Neurospora crassa OR74A: one gene and its partner. The protein of the gene in region 1 binds, or shares a complex with, the protein of each later gene. Links are inferred from orthologs where the notes say so. Each region holds a gene or a part of one and is shown in the gene's direction. Other genes may lie near its edges.

Region 1 (10,337 bases):
TGGCAACCCACCACCTCCTTGAGCCGCCCTCCCGAACGAATCCATGGCCTTTCAACAAAACTCCTGTTGAAAGATGGATAATATAATTTCGCTCCTTGAATTCCGTTGTACCGTTGCCCCCCCCCCCCCCCCCCCTCCCCGGGCGTGCTTTCCGTCTGCCTGCCTGCCTGGGGAGGGGGGGGGGGGCCCATCTCTTCTTTGGTGTAGTGTTGACTTTTGTCCAATGATCGTTTTTTTCGATGCAAGTCATCAACGTTTCTTGATGTACTGTGTATGTACCTGTGCAACCAGCTAACCCCCCTCCCCGCAAACATATGTGCTTGCTTCTTCGTCGTTGTTGCTGTTGTCGCTGCCGCCACATAGTAAGCGGCTGCTGTCTGACCGTTGGAAAAAACCTCGACCGATTTGATTGATTGATCATCATATGTAGGTACATATGATATATATGTCCGTCAACCCAAGCCAAGTAAAATGGTGGTGAACGATGTAAGTAGCCGCCTTATTTTGCTACCTACCATTGCCTTCCTCCAACAAACAGTCGTCTATCGGTGTTATTTCTTCCTATCTACTACACTACCTCTATCCCCTCCTTCTCCAGGATGCCTTGCATACATACACATACACATGCACATACTGGTTGGTACCGGCGTCGTCTATGCAAACTAAGCCGACGAGCAGTTCAAGTTTGATAAAGGCACATACATACATATATACATACATACATGCATACATACCTAGCTCAACTTTACATACATGACCGGTAAGCACTGACAAGCTTGATGCATCATCATGTGCAAAGTGTGCATACACGAAAAGGATATGCAGGATGGTATCTTATCTAAGCTGCTGCTTTGACAATGGTGCAGGTTGCAAGCAGATGAGAGAAAGAGTCCGCTTTGGCTTGGATGTCGGAGAAGGAAGAGGGAGGGGCGCGTAATGAGGGGAAGGGAGTTTTTGTCTACCTCTACGTAGAGAAATATTTACCTACTCGTCATCAGGTATTGAAGCAACGAACTTCGGCTGGCTGGGGAAGTGGCTTGCTTGAAAGTCTGACGAGAGGTAGACAAGGTGTGTCAAACAAGTGATGAGAACAAAGTGACAACAACACATGTGAGATGGGAGAAATAGCCAAGAACATACACGAGATGAGAGACGTGATACTAAGAGAATAAAAAATAAGAATTAACACTCGTGAATTATCGAATCTACCTCTTAACCATGCTAATGATACCAGCCCAAGTCTAAATGTCCTGCAAATCCACCTAAGACTGCCACATGTACTCGCTCAAATTCAGCAACTTATCCGCCATCTGCCTCTTCGCCGCCGCCGCCACGCCGCGCTCCGGATCCGCCAACTGCTCGCTATAACACAGCTCCACGAGCGCCTTGAGTTCATCGTAGCTGAACCGGTCCTTATCGTCCCCAAAAATTTCCGCCGACTTTCTCGAGTTGGGCGTCTCCGCCCCTTCTTCTCCGGCGTCTTCACTTTTTCGTCCTGCGTCACCAGTTTCCTGGGAGCCAGAAGAGGCGACGCCTTCCCTGGCTTTCTCGAGAATGGCATCCACTCCGCGCTCAAACATCTCAAAGTAATTACTTGCCCTCACGAGATCGACTCCTTCCTCGATATTCTTGAGGTTCTGCTGCAGCACAAGGATGTTGAGTTGCATGCGCCCGCACCCCTTGGCGTTCATGGGCGCCGTCATGGGCGCGTTCTTGATCAGGAACCCGTTGATCAGCTTGCCGAGGCCGTTCCTGACAAACTGAACCTCGCGCAGGCGGAGGCATCTCACTAGAATTTCGTCGTAGGCCACCATTTCCGAGTTGAGCGAGAGGATCTCCGGGTCCGGCTCGTTGACTTCCTGATCGAGCAGGTAGGGGGCCGTGGTGAGCGGGGACAGGGCCGTTTGGAGGGAGTGCAGGATGCGAGTGCGGATTTCAAGGTGTAGAGTGAGGAGGGCGGTGGAGGCGAGCTCGTCGTAGGATACTAGGATACTATCAAAGTTTCTAAGGGGGGAATGAGTTAGCAAGCGAATACTTATCAGGGTTGAAGAAGGAAAATATATAGGATAGTAAACTTACTCAACGGTCTCCTCCGTCATAGGCAGGTAAACGGGGGCTTCCCCTCCTGTAGCTTTGCTCGGGTCGTTCAGCAGCGTCCAGCGCTTCTTCTCCGCCTTGGTCGGGAAGCTCGACTTGGATGAGTCCGTCTCGTTACGCGTTATGTGACGCAGACCGTGGATCTTAACCGACAGCCACTTCATACTGGTGTATAGCAGACACATGGACTGAATCATGTCGCGATCCTGAATGATGTCACTGGCGTCCAGGTCCCGACCGTTGGCCCACGCGATGAGCTGGTTCACCTCGCGGTAAAGAAGCTCCAGATCGTTCAGGTTTTCCGACTTCCACAGCCTCTGTATCGTCTCGCGGACTTCACTAGGCTCGGTGGCGAGAATGGCAGATGCCCGAAGCTTTTCCTTTTCCCTGATCTGCTTGTCCCCCCCTTCTTGTGTCTTGGTGACCAGGGCTTTGTACCAGCTGAAGCAGCGGTCGTAGTATCGGACCATTTGGGTGATGATGAGCGTACTCAGCGCTTGGTCGTGGGGAATAGTGCCCAGCATCCGGCAAAAGGCTGTGATGACTGTGAAGAAGGCTGTGGTTCCCTTGTACACAGGCCGCTTCGCAACTTGGGCCCAGTCCGAGTCTTGCTGAAAGGCGTCTGCCTCGCCAAAGACAGTATCACTGAGCTTTCCAAGGGTCTCGTCGAGTTGAGGCTGGAAGACATTGACGAGGAAGTTGTCAAGGAACGATGTCAGCGTGCTGGTTGCCAGATCGGACCCCGGGGGCACAATGCTCTTCAACCTCTGAAGGAAGATGAGAGTAGGTGGTAGAAGCAGGCTCATGTTGAACACGCTGGGCTCTACCAGGGATTTGTAAGTGCCACTGTTCTGTTGACTGCTTCCTGAGCCGTACCCTGCCGACTTCCTCGAAGTAATTGGCTCAGATCGCGGGATGATCAAAGAACCCTTCTTGTTGTCACGCCGGGTGCTGTCCGTAAGTCCAGGTACGGCGGCCCGGATGATGGAGTCCAAGGCCTCATATTCCGAGGCCATTTCGGCTGACTTGGCATCAACTTCGGAGAACTTGAAGAGATTGTCGCGGGCAGAATCCGCCCTGCCATTCATGCCCATGCCAGGTCTGGGTGTACGGCTGAACTGATAGACATCCGCATCGGTGGTAACGTAGTTGTGCAGGAGTGCCCGAATCTCGTTTTGGTAGAGGTTCCAGAGCTCCTTGAAGCCCCCTAGCAGCACACTGTTGTTGCCAGCACCTTCACGGCGAATCAAGGCTTTGATGGCTTCGTGTAGCACCCGATGACCCTCAGCGATGGCCTCGAACTTGCCGTAAAGCGTCGATAGCAAATCGTGAATGACGTCTGCTCGCATTCGGGTTTCGCGGTGACCGTAAATGTTAAGGCCGTGAGACCCAGACGCGCCTCCGCGTAGTGAGCTCGGATGCTTCTGGTCTACATCGTTGATAGTCTCATTGACGACCGCGAAAAGCTCGACGGGTAACCTCTGCTTGAGCATGTCGACCGCTGTCTCTAGCCTTCCCAGTCTGTTCAGAGCTTCAACGAGGAGGGTCACATAGTAAAACGTGTCCGCCTCGGGATTCTTTTGGGGATCCTCAGCCACGGACTTTTCCCAGTCAATGGTGTCCAAGATTCCGTGGAAGGGTGCCACGCCTGGGGCGTCTCCATAGGTCTCATGAGAAATTCCCTGGACCTTTGCCAGGTTCTGCCACCTTTCCTGACAGTACGGTGATTTCAGATAGAGATGTTCGTGCAACTCTTCCACCAGGATATCCATGAGGGCGGTCTCCTGATTTGCAAGATAGCTTCGCAGGTCGCTCAGGGCACCAATGTTATCCAGCTCGGGCTTCCTCAGCTTCCGTAGCGCATTCTGCAGGACCTCGACGGCGGTCAGAAAACGCTTCTCGGATATCCTGGCCTCCAACTGGTCTGGAACGGTGCGCAAGTCATCGAGCTCGTTCAGTGTTTGTAGGACGCCATCGTACATGCGTGACGTGGCATGTAGCTGTTTGAGTTCGGGATTGGTGGTGCAGAGTGCCGTCTTGGAGGCTGCCAGCGACTCCTTGAGGGCGCGCACCTTCTTCTGGGAGGACTGTATGCTCCCTTGGATCTTGTGGAATGTACCAATGGAACTGTTGAAGCCTTGGTGGTGGTCGTGGACAATGTTCTTGAGGGACTCTTGGAGGAACTGGTGTGTCTGCTGGAAGTTGCGGTATTCGTGGGCGCGGCCGACGGAGCTGGTGTCGAGAAGCTGTAGAGCCAGCTGGACGGGGATGCAGTCTGTCTCGACCATGGCGGGCCATTCTCTCTTGATCAGATCCAGCACGTTTCCAATCTGGCGCTCGGCATTGGACTGGATCTGCATATCGCCGGCACCCGTGCGGCCACGCTGGGCAGACCGGGGCGGGGGCGCATTTCGGGAGGCCGTCGATGGTCTTGAAGCCGGGTTAGTGCTGGTGCCATAGCGGTCGCTGGGATATCCGTCACCGTAGGGATCGTAGTCGTCGTTACGCCGGCCAAGGTTGCCGAAACCGCTGTTGCCCCGATAGGATTGCGGCTGCTGGCCGTATCGGTCGGCCATGATGGTGGTGTGTGTTTGACTCGGCGTCCGGGTGTCGCGAGGAGGGAGAGCTATCGTGTTGCGCGGTACTTCATTATCGGCATGCCTAAGGTATACAGTATGGAACTACTGCTTGGTGTGCCGGGCCCGTCTACAGTTGGTATGAATTGTAGGTGTTACTGAGTGGACGTTGAGTCGTCGTCACCCAGGACTTGAGTCGTCGGGTGTCAAGGTTAGGTTGGTCAATGATGGTGCTTTAGTTGGTGTTGCTCAAGAAGTCCTCCTCTCTCCACGTTCATGATCCCCTAAAACGGATGTACAGTGCTTGTTTGTTGTTACAGAGGGTCCCGCCGTTGCTACATAGGTACGTAACCCCACTGACAGGGCCTCACGCACGACGGATCACTGCAGGGGCAGCGGCCTCCACGAGACATGAATTACAAGCTCGAGATGCTTCCACCTCAATAAAGGTATCCTGGCTCTTCTCTACATCTATCCTCCTTTCAAGTATTAATGATAACTCGTCAAGTCCTTATACTTGGGCATTGGAATTCCAGATTTAGAGCCTTCATCCACATACACAGCGCCGGACAACCGCTCTTTTCTACCATGACCGCCGCTTTCCCAATCCAGCCTGTAGCACGGTTTGCGGGCAAGAGTGAGCTGGTCAAACGGCCAAAGGTAGAAACAACCTACTAGAGACATCCAAAGACCAGAGAGGCTAACTGTCTGACCAGGAATTTGCATGCTTCTCATACGATGCCGATCACAAGTTCTTACTTGGAGCTCAGTCATTGAAGTGGTATTACACACCAGACCTCAACGTCGACCTGTCCAAGGGCTTCGAGAGCTTCATCAAACATGACGATAGTGTAGACGAACATCTGGACAGCCTACTCACCACCATAGCCGACTATGAGCAAAAGACGTCGAAACCGATCGATGCTCACATCGTAACTTGGAGAGGCATGATGACAAAGGCGAGTCTCCCTTAGACTAGCTGTTTCATGATGTCGTTCGTATATCGGACACTAACATCATATACACCGTGATAGATCATGGCAGCCCCCTTTGATGATGACGACGGGTTTGAGATGAATGCTACCCTTTACAGAGTTCGTCCACACCTGCCGCTTGGCCATCTAACTTGGGAAGCCTTGTCATACTAACATGGCTGTAAAAGGGTTGCATGTAAGCGACCACATGGTTTCCGCCCCCATGCTATTTTGACTGACGGCGACAAGATTTATCGAAGAGAACCATGCATACAAACAAGCATCGAGAGCAAACGAGCGGCCATGGAACGGGCCAATCCCGCAAGAAGTGATGCAGTACTGGGGTAAGCTAACTCACTGTCCACGTCTTTCATATCTGCTGAATTGGTAAGCTGACGTCTCCTGGCTTCCAAGGCTACAAGTTTGAGACTCTGAGCACACTTCCGAAACCATGGGGCCAGACCTCTCGCGATTTCATTGAAAGCCGTCCCGATCATGTCGTGAACAACAAGGAGCAATACTGCTCAGTAGTCCGTACAGGCATTGGCAAGACCATTCTCTGTATCGGTGGTGAGGTTGATGCTAGTTAGTGCTCTTGTCTCCCTACCTATACTAACGCCTCTCGTCAACCCCAACTAATAACTCGTCTTTTCTTACTTAGTATGGGACGACAAACCAAGGACTCAAGGCGATCCAATCAACTGGGTGGAGCTCAAGACGTCGGCAGTAATCCAAAATGAGCGCCAGGCCAATAACTTTGAGCGTAAGCTCATGAAGTTTTGGATCCAGTCCTTTCTCCTAGGCGTCCCCAAGATCATTGTCGGATTCCGGACGCAGGATGGGCTGCTGGTTGAGACCAAAGAGTTCCGCACGATGGAGATACCGCTCATGGTGAAGAAGAATGGGCGGCCAAAATGGGATGGGGATACGTGCGTCAACTTTGCTAACGGCTTCCTCGAGTGTGAGTCTTGTCATTTCCTTTGTCTTCTTGAAGTCCAGCAAAGCGTCTTATGCTTTGGAATCTATGACTAACAGTCTCTTTTCAGGGCTTCGCCATACCATCACCGACGAGGGCGTGTGGAGGATCAAGAGAAGGCCTCGGTCGGCAGAAATCGAAGTGTTCAAAGTCGAGGAGGTGGGCCACGGAGACATCATCACAGATGAGTTCATGAACTGGCGGATCAAGCTCGAGCTTCGTCAGGCACAGCCGCCTACTGAAGACAATGAGACCGAAGAGTAAGCTGAATTGGACGAAGCAGTACACGTCTTCTTATGTGCATCAGTGTCCAATAGAAAGAAGTACATTGGCGTTGGGCAACCCACGGTAGCTTCTCAGCCACCCCCCTCGTTCTTGCCTGCCAGTTCCGACGTCTTCCATCATCCAACCCTACCTGTCTGCACCTTCCGTGTGATAAGGCACGCCGCGAGGCAGCTTTCCATCTAATCTCAACCCACTAAAGACGCGAAGCTCCCCGCTGTCAACTGAACAAATGTTCACCTCCCTGTCAACAACCCAAACCATCAAAATCTCCATGCTTCCATTCACCCACGAATTCATTTCCACCATTCACTCTCTGGGTTATAGATCGCTTGACTCTGTCCAGCAATCGTCCGTCATAACTCGCGGTCCTTTAAAATCATTATGACCCCAATCCACGCCACGCGTCTCGACACTTCTCAAAAAGACATCCGCTTGCTCGAGCTTCTCCCGGCCAACAGTCTTCAAGACCCCATCCAATGCAGACTGTACATAACTCAACTGTCAATGGAAACGGAGTATACGGCCTTATCATACGTCTGGGGAGATCCGAATGTTACCTCTCCCATTGCTGTCAACGGCGTTCCCTTCCATGCAACTCACAACCTTTGCGCTGCTCTAAGACGCATACGATCTAAATCCAACCTCTCCACGACGCTTTGGGTAGATGCGATATGCATCAACCAGTCCGACAAAGACGAGAAATCGTCTCAGGTTCAGCTGATGACAGATATCTACCACAATGCCTTGCTCGTCACTGTCTGGCTGGGGGAAAGCGACAGTACACCGATGAGGCAATCGTTCTCATCAAGCTTACGGCCTATCTCCAAAGATCTCTTGAAATAAAGGGGAAAGGCACTCTACTGCCAATTATCTTCTGCGTACCGTTTCATCCGCTTTTTCCAAGTCCGACCTGAGATCACTCGCCCTTCTCAAATTCTTCTCTCGCCCCTGGTGGAGTCGTGTCTGGGTTGTTCGAGAAGTTATCGTCTCTCGGCGTGCAAATATTGTATTCGGAACGAAAGAGATCTTGGAGTGGAAGAGTTTGAGCTTCAGATGATGAGTGCACTTGTCGATAGGCCAGTTTGCGACGACTGATGTACGAATATCTACACCAAATGTGCCCTATAAGCAGAAAGGGGAATGGAGTTGAAGACTATGTTCAAGCTCGCCTGTTGGTAGATATTCAAACATACTCTTTACTCTCTCGAAAAGATAATGTCAGAGGACGTGTTACGGTCAGTCTCGTGCTCAAATCTCCCTATGGGTTCACTATTCAACTTCACTCTTCACAATGAGATATCGTGCCAGGACCGGAATATACTGGACAGAACTTGGGCTACCTCATGCTTTATTGTTTGCACACTTGCCTTATAATCCAGCTGTGTTCGTGAACACCTATCGCAAGGTCGTACAAATATGATAGATTTGCATGAACCTCAGCTCTATCCAGCACATGTCGCTATTGGTATTGCCAAGTGAACAGAGCACGGATACGGGTACCATATCCGACTGACCTGACTACATGTATTGGAGAGATTGTCATGTACCAGTTTGGAATGCTCACTTTGATGATTCAGAGTCTTGATGGATTGCTCGACTATTCTGCATGCTTGAACGGACGATCAATTCTGATGTGTTTGTCTCGTAATCTTTTTGACAGCACCATATGTCCGGTGAGCAAGACCCATCCGACTTAGAATATGAGACCGAGTTTGCTAATTCCGTGAGGTATCTCAGGAATGCGGTATCGACGAGTGAATCTGGACGCAAGCGGATGACTTGATGAAACACTCGTCGGGTACACAAGATTGATGCTGACTGACAGAAGCAAAAGACTATGGACGCGAACAGTTTCACTCTGAGATGTTAAGGATCAAAAAGGATTGAAATTAGTAAGTGCTTTTCTTGTACGTATTCTGCTTCATCATGGTCATTGAAGTGAAGGTCAATCAAATGTGCAAATGTACAACTGAGCTGGGAGAGCTCTACCTGCCTTATACGATGGACCTCTAACCCAGGGCTGCTTATCACTGCAGCGCACCTTAGCGCCGATCTTGCCCTGGCATGAGGCAGGAGCCGGGGGTTGGGGCCGCGGGGACATCAAAGGCCAAATCCGGCCTATCAAAGAGCTCATTTGATGGGATCAAGTACCCCACCGAGCCCACCATGTAGCTGACTCCAGCTGCCCAGAACCGCCTAGCCAGTGATAAGCGCGTCACCTGGACGGATTGTTGGCAACCGGGGTACCGCCTACTCGCTGTGCTGTACCCTGTAGCTGTAGGCTGTAGCTGCAACCTATAGCCGGTAGAGGTAGCTACCTACTGTACATGTACACCTTTGTAAGTGGAAGCTGTTCACCGACCGACCGCCTTCCTTTCTGTTGCCATCTCGTGCGTGTCATCATCTCGTCCTCTTGTTCCTCCCTGTCATCTTCTCATTTCTCTTCTCTCCAAAACATACAAATCCATCCGCATCACCCAGATATACACAATGGTCCGCGCCACTCCCGAATATCTCGCTGCCCGTACATCCATGATGTCTCTCCGAGCGCAAGCCCTCGAGCAGTCCATGATGGCCTCGCAAACATACTACGCTCCTCCTCAGCAGCCCCAGCAGCCTGTTGCTGCCAACCAGATCAATGCCAAGGACATCAAGCCCGAGGCTTTCACCAAGCCATACCTCGAGTTCATGACCGAGAACCCAACCGTTTTCCACGCTGTTGGTTACTTCAAGGAGAAGCTTGACAAGGCCGGCTACAAAGAGGTAAGCCGTCACAGCTTCCCAGCCCCCCTCCCGCAGTTGAAATACCACAACCGAGGCACAAGGACCGAAACTGACTAAGCGCCTTGTAATTTGTAGCTTCACAGCAGAGACTCCTGGTCTGGCCAGATCAAGCCCGGCGGCAAGTACTACACCACTCGCAATGGCAGCTCCATCATCGCCTGGGCCGTCGGCAAGGCGTATAAGCCAGGCAACGGTCTTGCTATGGTCGCCGGTCACATCGACGCCCTCACAGCCCGCCTCAAGCCTATCAGCACCAAGCCTAGCCACGATGGCTATGTCCAGCTCGGCATTGCCCAGTATGCCGGCGCTCTCAACAGCACATGGTGGGACAGAGACTTGAGCATCGGTGGTCGTGTCATTGTTAAGGATCCCGAGACGGGCAAGACCTCTACCAAGGTCGTCAAGCTTGATTGGCCCAGTATGTTGACTCCCCCCAACCCAATTCCATCCGATGAAAGCTAACACACACTTTCCAGTTGCTCGTATCCCTACTCTGGCTCCCCATTTCGGCATTGGTATGACGGGCCACAACAACCAGGAGACCGAGATGACCCCCATCATTGGCCTCGATAACAGCGACCTCAACTCCTCTTCCACCGCCTCCTCCGAGAAGCCCATTGGCCCCAAGGGTTCTTTCGTCTCTAC
Region 2 (10,762 bases), about 260 kb from region 1:
AGCGTTGACTGTGTATCCTGTTGTGCTATGAAGAAAGATACAACACCTGCGTAGAGGTTTGGCCAAAGGACTCCGCGGTCACTGTGGAGCCACTCAGCATAGGACCAAGCACTGTGCAGTGTTGCTTGATCGTGAACGGCCACATCTAGTATTGCTTGCCAGAATTTCTCGGCAGTTGAGCCTTCCACTTCCGTCAAGGTTCGCCGTTTTTGCAGACCCTCGAGAACTGCTGCAACTCCGGCATCTCCTTCGGTGCGCTGGCGGTGCTCAAGTATGCACGACCAAAGGGTGATGTCGTTCGCATACTGTGGCCAGTCAACCAGTCGCGGCTTTCCATTTTCGGGCGAATCTGCGTGGACATCACACTGGAAGCGCAAGTCTTCCTCGGTGGCCGTCAAGACATCCCAATCGTCACGGTTGAAGGGCTGGTTAGCGATGCGGGATGACCGAAAGCCCGACCATGCTGACAGGTCGTGTGTGGTAGACGCTTGGCCTGGTAGCGCCTGCACTGCCGAGCCCCGTGCCTTCTTTGTATTCCGAACACCGTGGTCCTCTTCCGCCGCCAAAGTCTCCGAAAGTGCGTATGCCGTCAACGACCGCGACCAGCACGCGCTCGTTGAAAAGTTGACGCATGATGGTAGTCCAGACGCCTGTAAGTGCACAGCGTCCGTGTATAAGTGCGATATGGTGGAGCGGCGCGAGCGAGCTACATGTCGCAGCACAGGAGGCACGACTCGCATAATGGAATTGTGGCCGCTCGACACAGAGAATTGGGCATATGAGCGGCGGGGACTCTTCTTAGCGGCTGTCTGATGCGATCATGTTCATTTTCTTTTTCGCTTCGAGGTTGCCGCTGGGTTATTTGGCGTCGTTGTTCGTATCGTTCGTATAGATCGCGAGGTACCTGGGGCTTCGTTGACTGACTCGAGTTCTGGGGTATCGCGGGCGGTCCATCCCACGGATGGGGTTGTGAGGGGATGTGGAAACTCCTCGGGCTGGAAGCTTTGACGTTCTGGAGTGGAGGGGACACAAAAGTGGAGGGGACCTTGCAGGTGTGGCCGGGGATCGCTCCCTAACTTGCTTCTTAGTCATCCTACGATCATGTGTTTCAATCCCCCATCCTTCCCGGCAGGCAGTGAGTCTGCTGAGCTGCTCAGTCTGAAGGTCAATGTCGAGGCATCAGCAGCAGCTGAAAGCTGTGAGCACTGACCAAACCTTACACCTGGCAAACAGGCAGGCAGGCAGAGCTTCCGCCGTCGGGTCTGCAGTCTCCACCATCCACAAGTCCGTGCACCACAGGAAGCCCCGAGCCGAGAAACCTGAAGCAGTGAGAGGTTCAAAGCTAACTCTCCGTCCTTTCCACGCATTCGACATCATCACACCAACCCCTCGCATCACCCCCCCGGAATCTTCCACCCAACGACCCCCGACAACAATTTCAAGATGCCGTAAGCTTCTCCCCTCCGGCTGCGAGCTCCTCGACGATCCGACGACCCTCCAGCGACTGCGCGCATTGCGGACGCCGCCCCAGGTCCAATTACCTGTCGTCATGACGCACTATTGTTCGTCGTACGATTTTGGAATCCCAGGCTAACAGCTCTCTTTCTTCCCCGACTGCAGCGGCCTCGTCAACGCCCCCAACCACGTCCCCGAGAAGCAGCGCTACTACCAGCAGGCCTTCAAGAACCACACCCGCCTCTGGAAGATTGTGAGTTGAAGTCGACACTTGAGGATGGTTGGGGAATCAACAGATGGGAAGGAGGAGAGGGAGAGACGGAGAGGGAGGTTTTGTCGGGATAAGGGCTGATGACAAAATCGCGAACAGGGCCCTCGCAGCGGCATCATCATGACCACCTTCAACATTGCCATGTGGGGTACCTTCGGCGGTGCGTATACCTTCATTGATGGCTTATCGCTTCGTCCTTGCTCCTTCCGCTAACTGTACATCAGCTTCCATGTACGCCATGTCCCGCAAGGTTCTCGGCTACAACACCTGGTTCTCGGAGGATTAAATTAGCCGTCCTACCACGATAGTCAACGAAGGCGGTGCTACTGGTCATGATAGAAGCACGAGAATCCCTTTGAATATGTGTATAGTCGCAAAGAGCAGCATAGATGGCGGCAGAGGGCAGGCCGCTTTGGGTGATACCTCCAAGAAGTAGGCCGCCACGCCGATATTCCCTATTTGCATCATGGATTCCACCGACCACCTTTGGGAGAGCTACTGTAACCGTGGAAATCGTGATCCATTGGGTCTCGGCGCTTCGATTACCAAGCTCCAAACACTGATGGCTGCAGCTGTCAAGTCTTTTCTATCATTACAAAATTATGGCTTTTTGGCCATGGGGCAGTAGTGGCCATGGAGGTGTGAAACCTGTGAATAGTGGTAACCAGGCGTTCCCTTTGTCATGGGGGCAGATCAAGTAAGCGCTTTAAATCCCCGAGGCACCGGGGGCCTTTTCGTCCTTCTTTAGGCTTATCAGGAGCTCACGGAAACGCTCCTTGCCGGAACCAGCAGCACCGCCCTTAGCTCCCTTGCCGCTAACGTCAACCAGCTTGGCAATGCGCTCCCAGCTCGTGCCTCCCGATGTGGTGTCCTCGCGGCTGGCAAGGAACTCCTCGGCCTCCTTGCGGGTCTGCCCAATGGCCTTCTCCTTCTTGTTGTTGTAGTTCTCGTAGAATTCGTCAATGTTCTTCTGCGCCTCCGCGATGGTCTCGGCTCTCTGGGCGGCGAACTGCTCCGCCCGCTTGGCAAGCTTCGCATCACGCTTCTCGCGCCACTCTCTGATCACCTCGGGCTCTTGCTCCTCCTGGGCGTATGGCGCATATCCAGAGTTGTAGGTGACGGAAGGACCGGCGCCAGTGATGGTACCGCCTGGCGCAACAGACTAAAGTGAAGATGCCCCATGTTAGAACCCAAGACCATGATTACGTGCTGTGTCGACATCTTTGGTATCATCATTATTTAGTCGTACCTCGTTGCCTGCGGAAAGGTCGGGGAACTGGCTCTCGAAAGCAGCGCTAGTCTCAAGGCCAGCGCCGGCGCCAGCGGAGGAGTCAAGGCCACCCCCTAGGAGGTCGTTGTCATCGTCGAAACCAGCATCCTCAACTGTCGCAAATTGGTTGGCATCGTCGCCGAGAAGCGCCTTTTCGCGCTCGAGGAAGTTGGAGGCCGAGGGGCTTCCAGAACCCTCCTTGATCTCGGTCTGGGCTTTTGTGGGGGTTTGAATGTTAGCAGGCAGTAACAGCAAGGTAAGGGGATCTCCAAACAACGCCAAGCTTACCGCCGGAGTCGAACTCCTCCAGCGAGGGGAATCTGTCAGCCATGATGTGGGTGGTGTGATTTGACTTTTGGTAGATCGGCGCGAACGGACAAGACTGGAGGCTGGAGAAGTGGACTGAAAAACGGAAATATTGGGTAGGACGGAGGATCGAAGAAAGCTGCGAAACAGGCAAGGTGTTTCGTTGTTTGATGGAAGTGTCTTTTGGTGTTGGTGTTGCACTGCGGGAGTCCGAGTTGCAGCCCACCCCAGCGCTCCTGATCGCGCCAGGTTCCAGGTTGCGACGGGACGCCACTCACAGCGGCCACTGGGGCACTTTGGCACTTGTCCACAGTAACAGCGACCCTCTTGGGCCTCTCCATTTGGCCAGGGGAAGCCGTAGAGGTAGTAACAGCTACCTTTAGGTACCGGCAGGCAACTCCATTGTCTGCGTGCGGCAGGCGTTCCGTTGTCCCTCTTCCCCTGCCTGCCCTCGCATTGGACGGATGGAGGAAGCTCCAACGTCTGCTTCGTTCCGTCCCACCACCTCCCGTCGACAACTTCTTTCTTCCTTCTTCTTCTTTTTCTTCTTCTTCTTCTTCCTTTCATCAACAACATTCAGCACTCACCTCGCTGTGGTTTCAGTTGTTTGTCACAGAGCATCCAGATCACGCTCATTTGCGCTTTGCACTGCAAACTCTTCCTGGTGACAGCATTGGTAATAGCAGGGAAACGACTCCGGTGTAGTTGGACCACAGAGCTTGACTAGGTGCTTAGTTCGTGCTGAGCACTTCTCTCTTGCCGTCATCTAGTGTGTTGTGTTGATAGTCCACGCTTCTGCCATTTGAGGTTGTTCCCAAGGGCTTTCGATCCATATTCTAGATCACCACTCGGCCGCGTCTGGAGTCCCTGCTACTTACACGCAAACATCACGGATACCTTTTCGTACTGCTGTAGATGAGTTCTGAATAAACCCGACACCGCATATCTTGAACATCTGCCCCGTCCATCACACCCACCAACCAACCAACCATCAACAACCACTTTTTCCAACACTTTCCAACAAATTTCGCCTAAAGCTTCACCATGGCGTATAACGAGGATGCTGTGCTCTCTAAGCTCTCTGCACTCACTGAGACTCACGAGAGCATTGCAACCACCGCTCAGTGGATCATGTTCCATCGGTAAGCTCCCGCTGCCCACGACCGACGACCGCATTCACCTGCTGTTTGATGTCTCGACCGCCGAACTGACTGTTGATGTATCTTAGGCGACATGCTGCCCAGACTGTCCATCTCTGGTTGACCAAGCTGAAGGACCTCCCCAGTCCCAAGAGGCTCAACATGATTTATCTTGCAAACGGTGCGTGCATTTCCCAGGCTCTCCCACATAGGCTGCATGTGATGTGCATCCCCCGGCGTTCGTTCTGGGTTTCTTTCTTCTCGTTTGGGACTGAATGCTGACTTTATTCGTCTTTCTCATAGAGGTGACGCAGCAATCCAAAGCTCGCAACAAGGATGACTTCCTTCAGGCTTTCTCTCCATTCATCGCAGATGCAACCGCGTTGTCTTATAAGGGCGCCTCGTCAGACATCCAGAACAAGCTCCGAAGGGTTGTTGATGTTTGGAGAGAACGCAAGATATTCCCCATAGAAGTCCAGGACGCCATAGACTCTCGACTAAGAGGTAAGCCGTGGCCTCAGCCCTTCCGCAGACAAGCTACTAACTTGTTCAATCCAGAGCTTGACTCAGCCCGCTCCGGTGGAACAATGTTCGGTTCCACATCGTTGTCGTCGCCAGCTGCAGCGGTGCCTCCAGAGTTGGCACCCTTGGTTACCTCACAGCAGGCAGTTTCCAAGAGTGCCCAGGCGTTGAAGACAAGCCTTACTACCGCCAATTCGGACTACAGCAAGCTGATGGATCCGGCCCACGCTCCTCCTCAGGCGCCAGTGTATGCCGCGCGACTCAACGGGCTTCTTAAAAACCTTGCCAATGCTGAGGGAGCCGTGACGGAATGCATCAAGACCCGCGAAGAGCTGATCAGCGCATTGGAGAAGATGTTGAGCTCCAACCGACAGGCCTTGGAGGCCGAGCAATCACAGCTCAGGGATCTAGGCACCCGCAAGACGGCAGTTGAGGAGAAGAAGCAAGCAATTGAGCTCAGCATCATTGGAGGTTTGCCTCACAATACCCAAGAGCCGGCTACCGGTGAGGAGCGCGCTCCATCTAGCTCGGATGGCCACGGCATCGCCCGTCCTCAGGTTGAAGCACTCACGCCGCCCCACGTCCAAGATCACGACGATTTCTACGATCATCGCCCGTCTGAGCAACAACAGCCGCAGAACGGTCATACTCACCCAACTGGATCTGCTCCTGGCATTGAGATGCTGTCCGCCCTCGCTTCTCAATATGAGTCTGTTCCAACTCGAGAGGCCAAAAAGCGCAAGATCGACGAGACTGCCGACATTCCTGACGTAGGCATAGATGCCGATGTCGCCGAGATGATCCAGAAGGAAAGCACGATTTAGAACAAGGACGGGGAGAAGATTTTTGGAAGCAAAACTTGACCGAACTGAAGTTTTTCTACCTTTGTATCAGTTTGAGTGCATATGGCCCAACACTCTGGAGTTGTTGCCGTTATTGCTGGTCTAGGGGAACGATAATGGCTGTATGGCGAGAATCATCATTCATGTGGCATTTTGGCGCGGGCCTGAAACCTTCTCTGGAGCGAGTATGTGGAGATACAGAAGGACAGGACTAAGGATTATTGGCATGCTTCATTCTTGACGGGCAAAGCGCCATTCGGTTCGCTGTAGAAATATCGTGAATAAAATCATCGGCATTTACACAAGCGATCGTCTTTTTCGTCTTTTTTCATTACCATGATGACCTTTGAAGTTGATGACGTCCGCACAGCTTCAATACCCCTGAGGTACAAATAAGTGGCATGAGTGGAATGGGCCAAGCTTGAGCACGGGCCACTTGTAGAAGGTACCGACATCGTTGAACGCATTCCGGAATTGACAGTGGATGCCGCCGGCATCGTTGTCGGGTGGTGGCTTGCTCTTCGCTGCTGAATGACGAAATGTCCGACTGCAGGTGAAAGATGCGCGCTTTGCCCTGTTTTGGGGGGGGGGGGGGGGGGGAGAGGGACAATTGAACAAGGGAATCGAAGCCGCCCTCCCGCCGTCGTGGTCCCCAGAGCTTGAGCGGCGAATCAATCGCAGTTGCTGCAGCGCCAAACCGGCGATTGACCACTGAAGTTGAGATCCCGTCCGCCGGGACAAGCAAGGGTTTTTGCACCGACGGCCGAGCCGACCGAACTGCCTGGGTGTCATCCCGACTTCATTCCATCATCCCCCCCGCCGTCCGTCCCGTCCCTCGACCTCGGAACCTTTCCACCACTTCTTTCTCCACGTTTCCTTCAACAGTTCCTCAACCACATTCCACATCACCAAACTCACCCATTCGCACGCAGTGCAGGGACTCAAGGGAACCGGGCATTGACAAGCGCAGAAACAGGCGCGCATGCGCGCTAGCGGTCTCGCATCAGGCAATTAGTAACATAGCCCACTGCACAACACCGACATGATATGATAGAAACTCGACACCGAAACTCTACGATACAGCGAGCCTAGTACCTAGTCACATACACACTCGACCTACCCAAGACACATATACTTCAAGCCATGGTTACGGGGGTAGCGGTGCGCCGCGCCGTGCTGCTCCCCCAATGCGGCGGTAGCGGCGCCGGGCTCGCGGCTTTGCTGCCGTTCCAACGATCGCCCACTATGACTTCCTCGATTCTGTCCGCAAAATTCTGCCGTCCGTTCTCGTCAGTTCAGCGGCCCTCGACGACATCTTTTACCATCGTTTCGGTTCCTTTCTCATCCTCCCATCCCGGATCACGACCATGCGTACAATCCCAACGTTGGACTTCCCCCTTCGGCCTTCTCCGCCAGCTATCGACCTCACAAACTCGCCTACGGGAGCAGCCGGCCAAGGAAGCTGCGGCAGAGACAGCAGAAGAGGCGGCAAAGGACGTTGAAAAGGTCAAGGAATATACATCTGAAGAACACCTCAAGGTACACGGTTTTACGAAAAGCGAGAGGGCGCATAAGGCCGCCCATATCAACATGAGCGCTCGTCTTTCCAAGGATGGCAAATCCCAATCAGGCACCAAGCCCGGCTTCGCCGAGGTCTGGCGTCTGATCAAGATTGCGCGCCCCGAGGTCAAGGCGATGAGTGTCGCATTCGTCCTGCTTCTCATCTCGTCCGCGGTCACCATGTCCATCCCCTTCTCGATCGGCAGAATTCTGGATCTTTCCACCCAGGGTCCCGCCGGCGAGGTTCGGCTCTTCGGTCTTACCCTCTATCAGTTCTTCGGCGGCCTCGCTGGTCTTCTCACTCTTGGTGCGACGGCCAACTTTGGCAGAATCATCATTCTCCGTATCGTCGGCGAGCGCGTCGTGGCTCGGTTGCGCACGAATCTCTACCGCCGCACCTACGTCCAGGATGCCGAGTTCTTCGATGCCAACAGGGTCGGTGATCTGATCTCGCGACTGAACTCCGACACGGTTGTCGTGGGCAAGAGCATTACTCAGAACGTGTCTGATGGTCTCCGTTCCATGGTTAGCGGAGCGGCGGGTTTCGCGGCCATGTTCTGGCTCAGCCCCAAGCTGACATCCATTATCCTCATCATGGTTCCCCCTATCGGTCTTGGAGCGGTTCTCTACGGTCGCAACATTCGCAACTTGAGCAGGCAGATCCAGAAGAACGTCGGCTCACTGATGAAGATCGCCGAGGAACGGTTGGGTAACATCAAGACCAGCCAGGCCTTTGCCGCTGAAGTGCAAGAGGTGGGTCGCTACAACAAGCAGGTCAGAAAGATTTTCGCCCTGGGCCGGAAGGAGGCCATTGTCTCGGGTGTCTTTTTCAGCAGTACGTCGTATGCAGGAAATCTGGCGATCCTGGCTCTCTTGATTGTCGGCGGGAACCTTGTGCGCTCAGGGGCCATGTCTCTGGGCGATTTGACCTCGTTCATGATGTATACTGTCTTTGCTGGTTCGAGTCTCTTCGGTGTTAGCGGCTTCTACTCGGAACTGATGAAGGGTGTCGGCGCAGCGAGTCGTTTGTTCGAGCTCGAGGATCGCAAGCCGGCCATCCCCCAGACCGTTGGTGTGAAGGTTGAATCTGCGCAAGGTCCCATCAAGTTCTCGAATGTAACGTTCGCCTACCCTACCAGACCTGCAGTTACGATATTCAATGGCCTCGACTTTGAGATCCCCTCGGGCACAAACGTGTGCATTGTAGGCCCTTCAGGCGGAGGTAAAAGCACCGTGGCCTCCTTACTCTTGCGCTTCTATAACCCCACATCCGGTAGCATCACCATCAACGGCATCGACATTTCCAAGATGAACGCCAAGTCTCTCCGCCGCCGCATCGGCATGGTCTCACAGGAGCCAGTCCTCTTTTCGGGTACCATTGCCGAAAACATTGCTTACGGCCGTCCACGGGCTCCGCGCACCGAGATCATTGCGGCTGCCCAGAAGGCCAACTGCGGTTTTATTAGCGACTTCCCCGAAGGCCTCGAGACCCAGGTCGGCGCCCGTGGCGCCCAGCTTTCCGGTGGCCAGAAGCAGCGCATCGCCATTGCTCGCGCCCTCCTCAAGGACCCCGATATTCTTATCTTGGATGAGGCTACCTCCGCCTTGGACGCCGAATCCGAGACCCTGGTCAATTCTGCCCTTGCGGAACTCCTCAAGGGCCGCAGCACCACCATTTCGATTGCTCACAGACTGTCCACCATTAAGCGATCTGACAAGATCATTGTGCTCTCGAGCGAGGGTACCGTGGCTGAGATTGGCAGCTACACAGAGCTGAGCGCCAACAAGGACAGCCACTTCAGTAAGCTGATGGAGTGGCAGATGAGCGGTGGTGATGTCTCCCCGGACCACCGCCCTCCCTCTGGGGATCCTCATGTCAGTGAGGTTGAGGAGATTGAGGAGGAATTTGCGGAGGCGGAGAATGACGTTGACGATGCGGTGGAGAAGGATGTGAAGTCGCACAAGGAGCCAGTGAGGGAGTAAAGTGATGGCTGAATGATATTTTCAGCAATCCGTCACACTCCCACACCCCAGTCTACAGCAGATGGTAATGAGTTTGAGGCATTGTCAGCCACTTACTCACGTGGGACAAGCTCCCCGGTCGGGCCGCTGACACAGAGAGATATCTTATCCCTCACAGGCCCAGACCCAGGCATGAATCTCCCGCATCTTCTACCATATACCCGCCGAGCAAGTGACCAAAAGTCAAGGTCCATGCTTCACGCGATGCTCGCTTCAGAGGAGGAGGGCATCGTCACCTTTTTACTGTGTACATGTCACGTATTTTACTTGCTATGTTTGTTATTATTATTTTCAGATCTCCTTTTTAGGGCACTCTCTTTCTCCACTCTAGACCCGATCATGGATGGCTGGTTAGGATAGCTATATGTACGATGTATGATAGATCGGATGCTGGAGAGCGAAGGAGAACGGCACTGCTGGGGAGGTTTGGGGAGAGCCGATTTGGAGTACTAGAAGGAATAGATAAAAACAAATAAGGAACATTTGGCAATTACATCGTCTCGTCTATGACAGAATCAATGAGACCTTTGCTTCAGTGGGCGATCGACCGACTGGTCTTATAAACCAGTCCCATAAACGCTCATTGTGGTCAAAAAAGGCCGTTGCAAAATTATTACAGGACTTATAATAATTCGAAAACACATCGGCTAGACTAAAGTCCCTTTGGGGTATGTTTGTCCAAGAACAGCCTAAATATTGAGTCCAAAGGAGTACTGAAGACGCTGAAATGCGTAGTCAGAGTATACCCAAGGTATAAGCGAAAATCTCAACAATTTTATCAGGGACAGGCTACTCTCTATACACTCAAAATAAATGCTCCACGGGTTGTCGAGCATGAATGAGTGTAGTGGTCAGTGGGACTAAAACACAAGATACAGTACCATATCAAACAAATTTGGCGAAAACAGAGGTCTTCCAAATTCCTGCTATTCAATCGTCCTTTTGCTCTTCATTGCCGGATCCCCAAATGTCATATGTCAATTTCCGCAGTTTCCGTAGAAAGGTTCCTCGGAAGGGTTTATATGGGACACTAACTATAGACTCTAAAATTGACAAACCCCAGAATCGGGTTGTCGTCTCCTTTTCACTAGCGTAGCCCGAGTCCTCCGGAGCCTCCCATGTCGTCAGCATCATCGTGGTGGTGGTGGTGGTGGTGGTGGTGGTGGTGGCGAGTGCGACCAATGTTTTGAAAGACCCACCAGGAGAAACGCCGCACTGCAGCATCCAGGTCCAAACAGTCCCGCCGAGGCAAAAACATCCCCACTCACCTCAAGGTTGTCACTGCGATACAACGCTGCTAGCCAAGGAGCTGTTTTGGTGCATCTTGTCGTCAAGAGTTAACACAAATGTACTTTGTTTGAAGTTCGAATGTTGC

Evidence for each region. Proteins that work in one complex are often made in the same cells at the same time.
Region 2: the proteins of NCU04191 (region 1) and NCU04116 are in contact, whole or in part, in a cryo-EM structure (PDB 8YF5), measured with the Komagataella phaffii proteins. The link is inferred for Neurospora crassa OR74A from reciprocal best matches to the Schizosaccharomyces pombe genes din1 and rhn1. Residues at the interface, in XP_002490393.1 of Komagataella phaffii: Ser62, Lys63, His64, Phe65, Leu66, Leu67, Gln147, Lys154, Lys186, Lys188, Cys189; in XP_002490270.1 of Komagataella phaffii: Gln19, Tyr59, Asn62, Gln66, Arg105, Val109, Gln112, Arg113, Lys114.

What each region holds. Positions count from the first base shown.
Region 1 is NC_026505.1:5,149,220-5,159,556, forward strand, and holds NCU04191 (rai-1), read left to right. Parts: upstream 1-5,156; 5' UTR 5,157-5,165; coding exon 5,166-5,333; intron 5,334-5,389; coding exon 5,390-5,632; intron 5,633-5,707; coding exon 5,708-5,767; intron 5,768-5,835; coding exon 5,836-5,843; intron 5,844-5,896; coding exon 5,897-5,991; intron 5,992-6,061; coding exon 6,062-6,232; intron 6,233-6,308; coding exon 6,309-6,608; intron 6,609-6,693; coding exon 6,694-6,887; 3' UTR 6,888-6,968; downstream 6,969-10,337. Other genes in the region: NCU04190 (exocyst complex component Sec8), read right to left, coding at 1,263-2,004, 2,080-4,673; NCU17026 (hypothetical protein), read left to right, coding at 7,290-7,751; NCU04192 (vacuolar aspartyl aminopeptidase Lap4), read left to right, coding at 9,399-9,671, 9,768-10,110, 10,169-10,337. UniProt on the Schizosaccharomyces pombe protein: Decapping enzyme for NAD-capped RNAs: specifically hydrolyzes the nicotinamide adenine dinucleotide (NAD) cap from a subset of RNAs by removing the entire NAD moiety from the 5'-end of an NAD-capped RNA.
Region 2 is NC_026505.1:4,894,879-4,905,640, forward strand, and holds NCU04116 (DUF618 domain-containing protein), read left to right. Parts: upstream 1-3,807; 5' UTR 3,808-4,346; coding exon 4,347-4,444; exon of another isoform or gene 4,445-4,519; coding exon of another isoform or gene 4,520-4,530; coding exon 4,531-4,622; intron 4,623-4,744; coding exon 4,745-4,945; intron 4,946-4,999; coding exon 5,000-5,787; 3' UTR 5,788-6,111; downstream 6,112-10,762. Other genes in the region: NCU04113 (hypothetical protein), read right to left, coding at 1-740; NCU04114 (hypothetical protein), read left to right, coding at 1,444-1,448, 1,621-1,708, 1,826-1,886, 1,951-2,012; NCU04115 (clathrin light chain), read right to left, coding at 2,433-2,888, 2,976-3,211, 3,285-3,327; NCU04117 (ATP-dependent permease MDL2), read left to right, coding at 6,949-9,348.